Linked DNA regions of Anolis sagrei. The protein of the gene in region 1 interacts with the protein of each later gene in a pairwise test. Links are inferred from orthologs where the notes say so. Each region holds a gene or a part of one and is shown on either strand. Other genes may lie near its edges.

The links.
Region 2: the proteins of ARID5A (region 1) and SOX5 interact in a two-hybrid assay, tested with the Homo sapiens proteins (2 studies listed by BioGRID and IntAct). The two-hybrid records come from large-scale screens. The link is inferred for Anolis sagrei from reciprocal best matches to the Homo sapiens genes ARID5A and SOX5.

What each region holds. Positions count from the first base shown.
Region 1 is NC_090027.1:23,191,354-23,195,281, forward strand, and holds the start of ARID5A (AT-rich interactive domain-containing protein 5A), read left to right. Parts: upstream 1-1,728; 5' UTR 1,729-1,797; coding exon 1,798-1,912; intron 1,913-3,928. UniProt on the Homo sapiens protein: DNA-binding protein that may regulate transcription and act as a repressor by binding to AT-rich stretches in the promoter region of target genes.
Region 2 is NC_090025.1:185,153,597-185,157,524, forward strand, and holds the start of SOX5 (transcription factor SOX-5), read left to right. Parts: upstream 1-1,674; 5' UTR 1,675-2,049; coding exon 2,050-2,087; intron 2,088-3,928.

The DNA.
Region 1 (3,928 bases):
AAACACAGGAACACAGGAATCTGTAGTCCAAGGACCCAAGCTCGAGAATTGGCAGTAACAAAGATTCACACCCCAAAAGAGACTTTGCCTTCTGCAAAAATCCATGCAAACAATACCCACTTTTATCCTAAAGTTCCTCATCAGAAGATGAGGTGCTCCCCACTCTTTCATCATCGCTCTCAGCTGCCCCATTCTCTGCAGCTGAACCCGAATGCCCATCCCTCCACCTCTGCCAGCGTCTGTCAAGACTTAGATCTTGCCAAGTGCTCCCCGGTTGGCGTTCCTCTGTAAACCCCTCAAAGTCATCGCTGGAGGTGGGTTGGGTACAGATATCCCTAATCTCCTGTACACGGATCCAATCGAGCCCATCCTCCTCCCCCATGTCACTCCCAGACCCATCCCTCCCTTCAAAGCCCATGAAGTCCTTGTCCTCTGTAGGAGCGTTAAGTATATCACGGATGCGCTTCCTTTGAGTTTCCTCATCAGACTCTGGATCGTGAGTAACCCGCTTGACTCCCCTGCTTTCCTCCCGATCCCCCATTTTACAGTCGGAGAAGCCCTCAAAGGTTTCAGAATCACTCGGGGCCATGATTATCTCTCTAATCTGCTTTCGCTGCTGCTCCTCTTCCAACACCTGCGCAGCCCGCTTCTCCCTCCTACCAGTAGTAGCAACGTTACCATCACGCTGAACTACAACAGCATGACTGCATGGTCACCGTTACCTTCCCGCAGAAGCGATACCTATTGATCTGCTCAATACCTATATACCATATATATTCGAGTATAAGCCGACCCGAATATAAACCGAGGCACATAAATTTACCACAAAAACTGGGACAATGTATTGACTCGAGTATAAGCCTAGGGTGGGAAATACAGCAGCTATTGGTCAGTTTCAAAATAAAAACAGATACCAATAAAATTACATTAATTGAGGCATCAGAATGTTAAATGTTTTTGAATATTTACATAACACTGTAATTTAAGATAAGAGTGTCCCACTCTGATTCTAACCTTCTTCAATGTAAATGTGCTTATGTATCCTTCCAATAAGAATAAAGAGAGTAACATAATGTAATAATAAGTTCTTGTGGGTTTTTTCGGGCTATAGGGCCATGTTCTAGAGGCATTTCTCCTGACGTTTCGCCTGCATCTATGGCAAGCATCCTCAGAGGTAGTGAGGTCTGTTGGAACTAGGAAAATGGGTTTATATATCTGTGGAATGGCTGGGGTGGGGCAAAGAGCTCTTCTCTGCTGGAGCTAGGTGTGAATGTTTCAACTGACCACCTTCATTAGCATTTGAAGGCCTGGCTGAGCTTGGGAAAATCTTTTGATGAGAGGTGTTAAGATGTGCCTGGTTGTTTCCTCTCTGCTGTTTTGCTGTTGTAATTTTAGAGTATTTTTAATACTGGTAGCCAGATTTTGTTCATTTTCATGGTCTCTTCCTTTCTGTTGAAATTGTCCACATGCTTGTGGATTTCAAAGGCTTCTCTGTGTAGTCTGACCAAAGAAGTCAGCCATAGCAGAGCACCTGATGAACCAGCCTGGACACAGCATATTATTTGAGAACACAGAAATGCTGGACCACACTAACAACCACCATGTCAGATGATTCCAGCCATGAAAGCCTTCAACAATAATGTAATAATACTTGTACTTGCATTGCAACTGTTTAATTTCCAGAATGTAATTGGTGATTGCATTGGGTTGTTTTTCCTGCAGGAATCTCCCACTTCCAAGCCGGAACAGGCAGCCGAAGCTGAGCAGAAGAGTCTGGCCGAGGAATCGGGAGACGAGATGCTGCCTTCCAGCGAGAAGGAAGAGGAGCAGACGTTCCTGGTCAACCTCTACAGGTTTATGAAGGACCGGCACACGCCCATTGAGAGGGTGCCTCACCTGGGTTTCAAGCAGAGTACGTACGTCCCTGAATGCATTTCTTGCACGTTTGAGAAACCAATTGCCGTGTCTATGAAAGGCCAACCTGTGGGTTTGCAGAGGGCAGATCTTAAATCAGACGTTCTCAAACACTTTAAACTGAGGACTGGTTTGCTGTCCTTCAAGGCTGTTGGGGGACCGTACTATGATTTGGAAAACAAAACAAAACAAAATCCAACAAATTCCTCTGCACACTGCGCAGCGTATTCTATATAATAATTGTATTACATTATTATTATATTACTAGCTGTCCCCTGCCATGCATTGCTGTGGCCCAGTCTGGTGATCTGGAAAATAAAGTAATTATAAAGTGTTGGTTTCTAATATATGTAATTTCTTTAGGCTTGTGAGTGAACAGTATTTTTTGTTGTTTCTTTGTCAGTGTTGATGTGGAGAGTGTCTGTTTTGCCTACTCTGGAATATGCAACATATCATAGTCCTTCTTTAAGGGTCTCTTTCAAATCTATGATACTATATCTGTGTGTGTGTGTGAGAATCATATCTATCTATCTATATTTATGACTGGATGGCTCTTCGTCAGGAGGGCTCTGATTACATTTTCTTGCCCTGTTGAAGAGAGTTGGACTGGATGACCTTAAGTATTTTCTGTTGGTCATGGGGGTTCTATGTGGGAAGTTTGTCCCATTTCTGTCGTTTGTGGGTTTCAGAATTCTCTTTAATTGTAGTGAACTATAAATCCTAGTAACTACAAATCCCAAATGTCAAGTTCTATTTCCTCCAAACTCCATCTGTGTTCATATTTGGGCATATGGAATTTTTGTGTCAAGTTTGGTCCAGATCCATCATTGTTTGAGTCCACAGTGCTCTCTGGATGTAGGTGAACTACAACTCCCAAACTCAAGGTCAATGCCCACGAAACCCTTCCAGTGTGTTCTGTTGGTCATGGAAGTCCTGTATGCCATGTTTGGTTCAATTCCATCATTGGTGGAGTTCAGAATGCTCTTTGATTGTAGGTGAACTATAAATCCTAGCAACTACAACTCCCAAATGTCAAGTTCAATTTCCCTTAAACTCCATCTGTGTTCATATTTGGGCATATGGAATATTTGTGCCAAGTTTGGTCCAGATCCATCATTGTTTGAGTCCACAGTGCTCTCTGGATGTGGGTGAACTACAATTCCCAAACTCAAGATCAATGTCCACCAAACCCTTCCAGTTTTTTCTGTTGGTCATGGGAGAACTGTGTGCTAAGTTTGGCCCAATTCCATCATTGGTGGAGTTCAGAATGCTCTTTGATTGTAGGTAAACTATAAATCCTAGCAACGACAATTCCCAAATGACAAAATCTTTTTTTTTTTAGTGGAGGACATACATTGGGTTGTTAGGTGTCTTGTGTCCAAATTTGGTGTCAATTCCCCCAGTGGTTTTTGAGTTCTGATGGTATCACAAACGAACATTACATTTTTATTTATATAGATAATATTATAGTAGAATTATAATTATAGAATATAGAATTATATATAATATAATATAATTATGCAATACAATTAACTATAGTAATTATAATTATATAATTATAATTATATAATATTATATAATTATATTTAATATATAATTATATTATATCTATATAAATAAAAATGTAATGTTCATTTGTGGGATTAACATAACTCAAAAACCACTGGACGAACTGACACCAAATTTGGGCACAATACACGTATCAGGCCAACAAGTGACCATCACTCATAAAAGCACTGAAAAACACAGCAGAAGAGACTTAAAAAGCCAAAAAATAAAAAATACATTACAACGCATGTGAAAAACCATATATATATATATATATATATATATATATATATATACACGCAAACACACGTATATACACAAATATACACACATACATATACACACTTAAACACACACAAAGCACATCTACACAGACTGGGCCACAGCAACGTGTGGCAGGGGACAGCTAGTATTATAATATTGGACTCCCTGGTGGTGCAGCAGGTTAAACTGCTGAGCTTCTGAA
Region 2 (3,928 bases), on another chromosome or scaffold:
GTGGGGACGAGGGAGAGGGCCTTTTCGATGGTGGCCCCCTGACTCTGGAAGTCACTTCCCAGGGACATCAGTCATGCCCCAACTCTGGCAGTCTTTAGGAGGAGCCTGAAAACGTGGTTGTTCCAGTGTGCCTTCCCAGAATATGGAAAACTCTTAGCAATATGTCCCTAAATGCACTTAGGATTGTCTGTGTGCCCCATATCTCTACCTAAAAACTCTATCCCAGTTATATCCTACCTTGTCCATGTCCAGCATTATTTTTTAAATTTTAAATTATTGCATTTGGCCCGGCCATAGGTTTTAAATGCTTGTTGTTATTGTTTACTTTTGTGTATGAGATTTATTTTAACTGTTGTATTGATTGTTTTCTATTGCTTTTACTCATGATGTACTTTGGGATCGGGCTCATGTAAGTCGCCCTGAGTATCTTGGGTAGACGGTAGCGGGGGTATAAATAAAGTTTATTATATTATTATTATTATTAAGATGGGATGAATTTGGCCAGGGATGGTGGTGGGGTATCAAATACAGTTTATTATTGGGTTGTTGTAGGTTTTTTCGGGCTATATGGTCATGGTCTAGAGGCATTCTCTCCTCTGAGGATGCTTGCCATAGATGCAGGCGAAACGTCAGGAGAGAATGCCTCTAGACCAGTGGTTCTCAACCTACCTAATGTCGCGACCACTTAATACAGGCCCTCATATTGTGGTGACCCTCAACCATAACATTATGTTTGTTGCTACTTCATAACTGTAATTTCGCTACTGTTATAATTTGTAATGTAAATATCTGATATGCAGGATGGATTTTCATTCACTGGACCAAATTTGGCACAAATACCCAATACGCCCAAATTTGAATACTGGTGGAGTTGGAGGAGATTGATGTTGTTGTCATTTGGGAGTTGTAGTTGCTGGGATTTATAGTTTGCCTACAATCAGAGAGCTTTCTGAACTCCACCAATGATGGAATTGAATCAGACATGGCCACACAGAAATCCCATGACCAACAGAAAATGCTAGAATGGCTTGGTGGGCATTGACCTTAAGTTTGGGAGTTGTAGTTCACCTAAATCCAGAGAGCACTGTGGACTCAAACAATGATCAATCTGGACCAAACTTGGCATGAACACTAAATATGTCCAAATGTGGACTCTGGTGGAGTTTGGGGAAAATAGACCTTGACATTTGGGAGTTGTAGTTGCTGGGATTTATAGTTCACCTACAATCAAAGAGCATTCTGAACCCCACCAATGATAGAATTAGGCCAAACTTCCCACACAGAACCCCCATGACCAACAGAAAATATTGTATATTCTGATGGTCTTCGGGGACCCCTCTGACACCCCCTCACGACCCCCCCCCAGGGGTCCCGACCCCCATGTTGAGAAACACTGCTCTAGACCATGGCCATATAGCTCGAAAAACTTACAGCAACCCAGTTTTTCAGATGGGATGAATGCGGCCAGGGGCTGAGAGAGTTGCCTTGCCACTAACTAGCCAGCTTTGCGCCTTGAGAAGGAGTGGAGAGCGAGGGAGAGAGTGTGTGTATGTGCCTGTGTTGTGATGATGATGAGGATGTTGGTGATGGTGAGGATGGTTGGAGGTGTGTGGGGAGGGGAGGAGGAAAGGGGCTGACTTTGCAAGGCTCTCCTTTCTTTCTGGTTTGGAGGAGGAGGAGGAAGAGGGGGACAGAGGCGAGCGGCGGAGGACAACCATGTGGCGCAGCGGTGGGGGGAGCTTGCTGGAGCCGGGCTCCTCCAGCTAAAGTGCGCTGCCCCTTTAAGAGACTGGTCAAGGAGTCCTAGCTCAGAGAGGGAGAGAGAGAGAGAGAAAGAGAGAGAGAGAGAGCGAGGACAAGAGAGAGAGAGAGAGAGAGAGCTGGAGCCAGAGGGGGGAGAAAAAAAATCAATCGGTTTAGGAGGTTTGGCTCCACTTGACAGGTTCAGTTGGAGGCGATTCCTTCCTCGGCGACAAAGGAAGGGAAGAAGAGAGAGAGAAGAAATAGTGCGTCCTCTCTCTCTCTCTCTTTTTTGTTCCCTTCTCCAGCATGTTAACCGACCCCGATTTACCTCCGGAGTTTGAAAGGTGAGTGCTTGCATTTCTGTTTTTTCTCCCCGGGAATCAATTGTCGGGTTTTCGGTGCGTTGGTTGCGCGCGTGGCTCCCAAACGGTGCGGGGATTGCTGCTCCAAAGTGCAACTTTCCCTCTGTAGAGACAACCTTGCCAGTGGAACCACAACCACAACAACAACAACAAGGAAGAGGAGGAGGAGATCTCGGCACTTTGGCTCGCTTTCCCCACCCGGCGTGCCGCTCTTGTCAGATTGTTGCTGATCCGCGTTGGGGGTTTGGTTGCCCTTCTTCCTCTCCTTCTCCTTCTTCTCCTTTCCACCAAGTGCCCAAGTCCTCTACTTGGTAGCAGGGATGCCTCTCCGAGCCGGGATCCGAAGGAGCATCAGCTCCGACTCTGATCTCTCTCTCTCTATCCCTCTCTCCCACCTCCCTTCTTCCCTTTCCCCGGCTCCTGTCTTCTCTCCTTCCTCCCCTCCCTTCTCCGCCTTCCCTGGAATTAATCTGCTCCAAACCCAGAAGCAAAGAGATCTCAGGCAGATTTGGACTTAATGTCTTTCCCCCCTCCTCTCTGTTTGTCAAAATAATAATAACAACAATAATAGCATTAAGCCTGAAAGAGGGAAGGAAAGAAGGAAGGAAGGAAGGCGCGCTCAAGTTCCTGGGAATGAATGGGGAGAGGAGCCGAGCAGGCTGGAAACTTTCAGTGTGATCCTTCCAAGAGGAAAGAGGGAAACTTTCTAGGCAAGGCAGCGCATCCATCCACATGACCTTTGGGTTGTTGGTCTCCTAAGGTGCCTTCTCTGGGAGCAACTTCACTCCAGGAACAGGAAGTGGCAATAATCATAATAATCATAATAATAATCATAATAATATAACAATAATAATCAAACAAAATCACAAGAGAAGTGTTCCACTTGTGATTTTGGGATACGAAACCCAGCACATATCTCTCGTTTCCTGTGCCATACTTTGTTTTTGTGTCAGTAAAATAATAATAATAGAATATGTATATGTATCTAATAATAATAGTAATAATAGTAATAGAATACAAAAGTCAGCATAGTGATCTTGTTTGCTGTGTAGTGTGTACTAGTCTTGCTATGCATCTAATAATAATAGTAATAGACTACAAAAGCCAGCATAGTGATCTTATTTACTGGGTACTAATCTTGTTATGTATCTAATAATAATAGTAGTAGTAATAATAATAATACTAATAGAATACAAAACTCAGCATAGTGATTTTATTTACTGGGTACTAATCTTGTTATGTATCTAATAATTATAGTAGTAATAATAATAATAATACTAATAGAATAAAAAAGCCAGCATAATGATCTTGTTTGCTGTGTACTAATCTTGTTACGTATCTAATAATAATAGTAATAATAACAATAGTACTAGAATACAAACCCTGCACAGTGATCTTATTTGCTGTGTACTAATCTTCTTACGTATCTAATAATAATAGTAACAATAACAATAGTAATAGAATACAAAACTCAGCATAGTGATCTTATTACGTATCTAATAATAATAGTAATAATAACAATAGTAATAAAATACAAAAGCCAGCATAGTGATCTTATTTGCTGTGTACTAATCTTGTTACGTATCTAATAATAATAGTAGTAATAATAACAATAGTAATAGAATACAAAACTCAGCATAGTGATCTTGTTTGCTGTGTACTAATTTTGTTATATATCTAATAATAATAATAACAATAATAATAATAGAATACAAAAGCCAGCATAGTGATCTTGTTTGCTGTGTACGAATCTTGTTATGTATCTAATGATAATAGTAATAATAATTATAATAGGAATAGAATACAAAACCTTGCACAGTGAT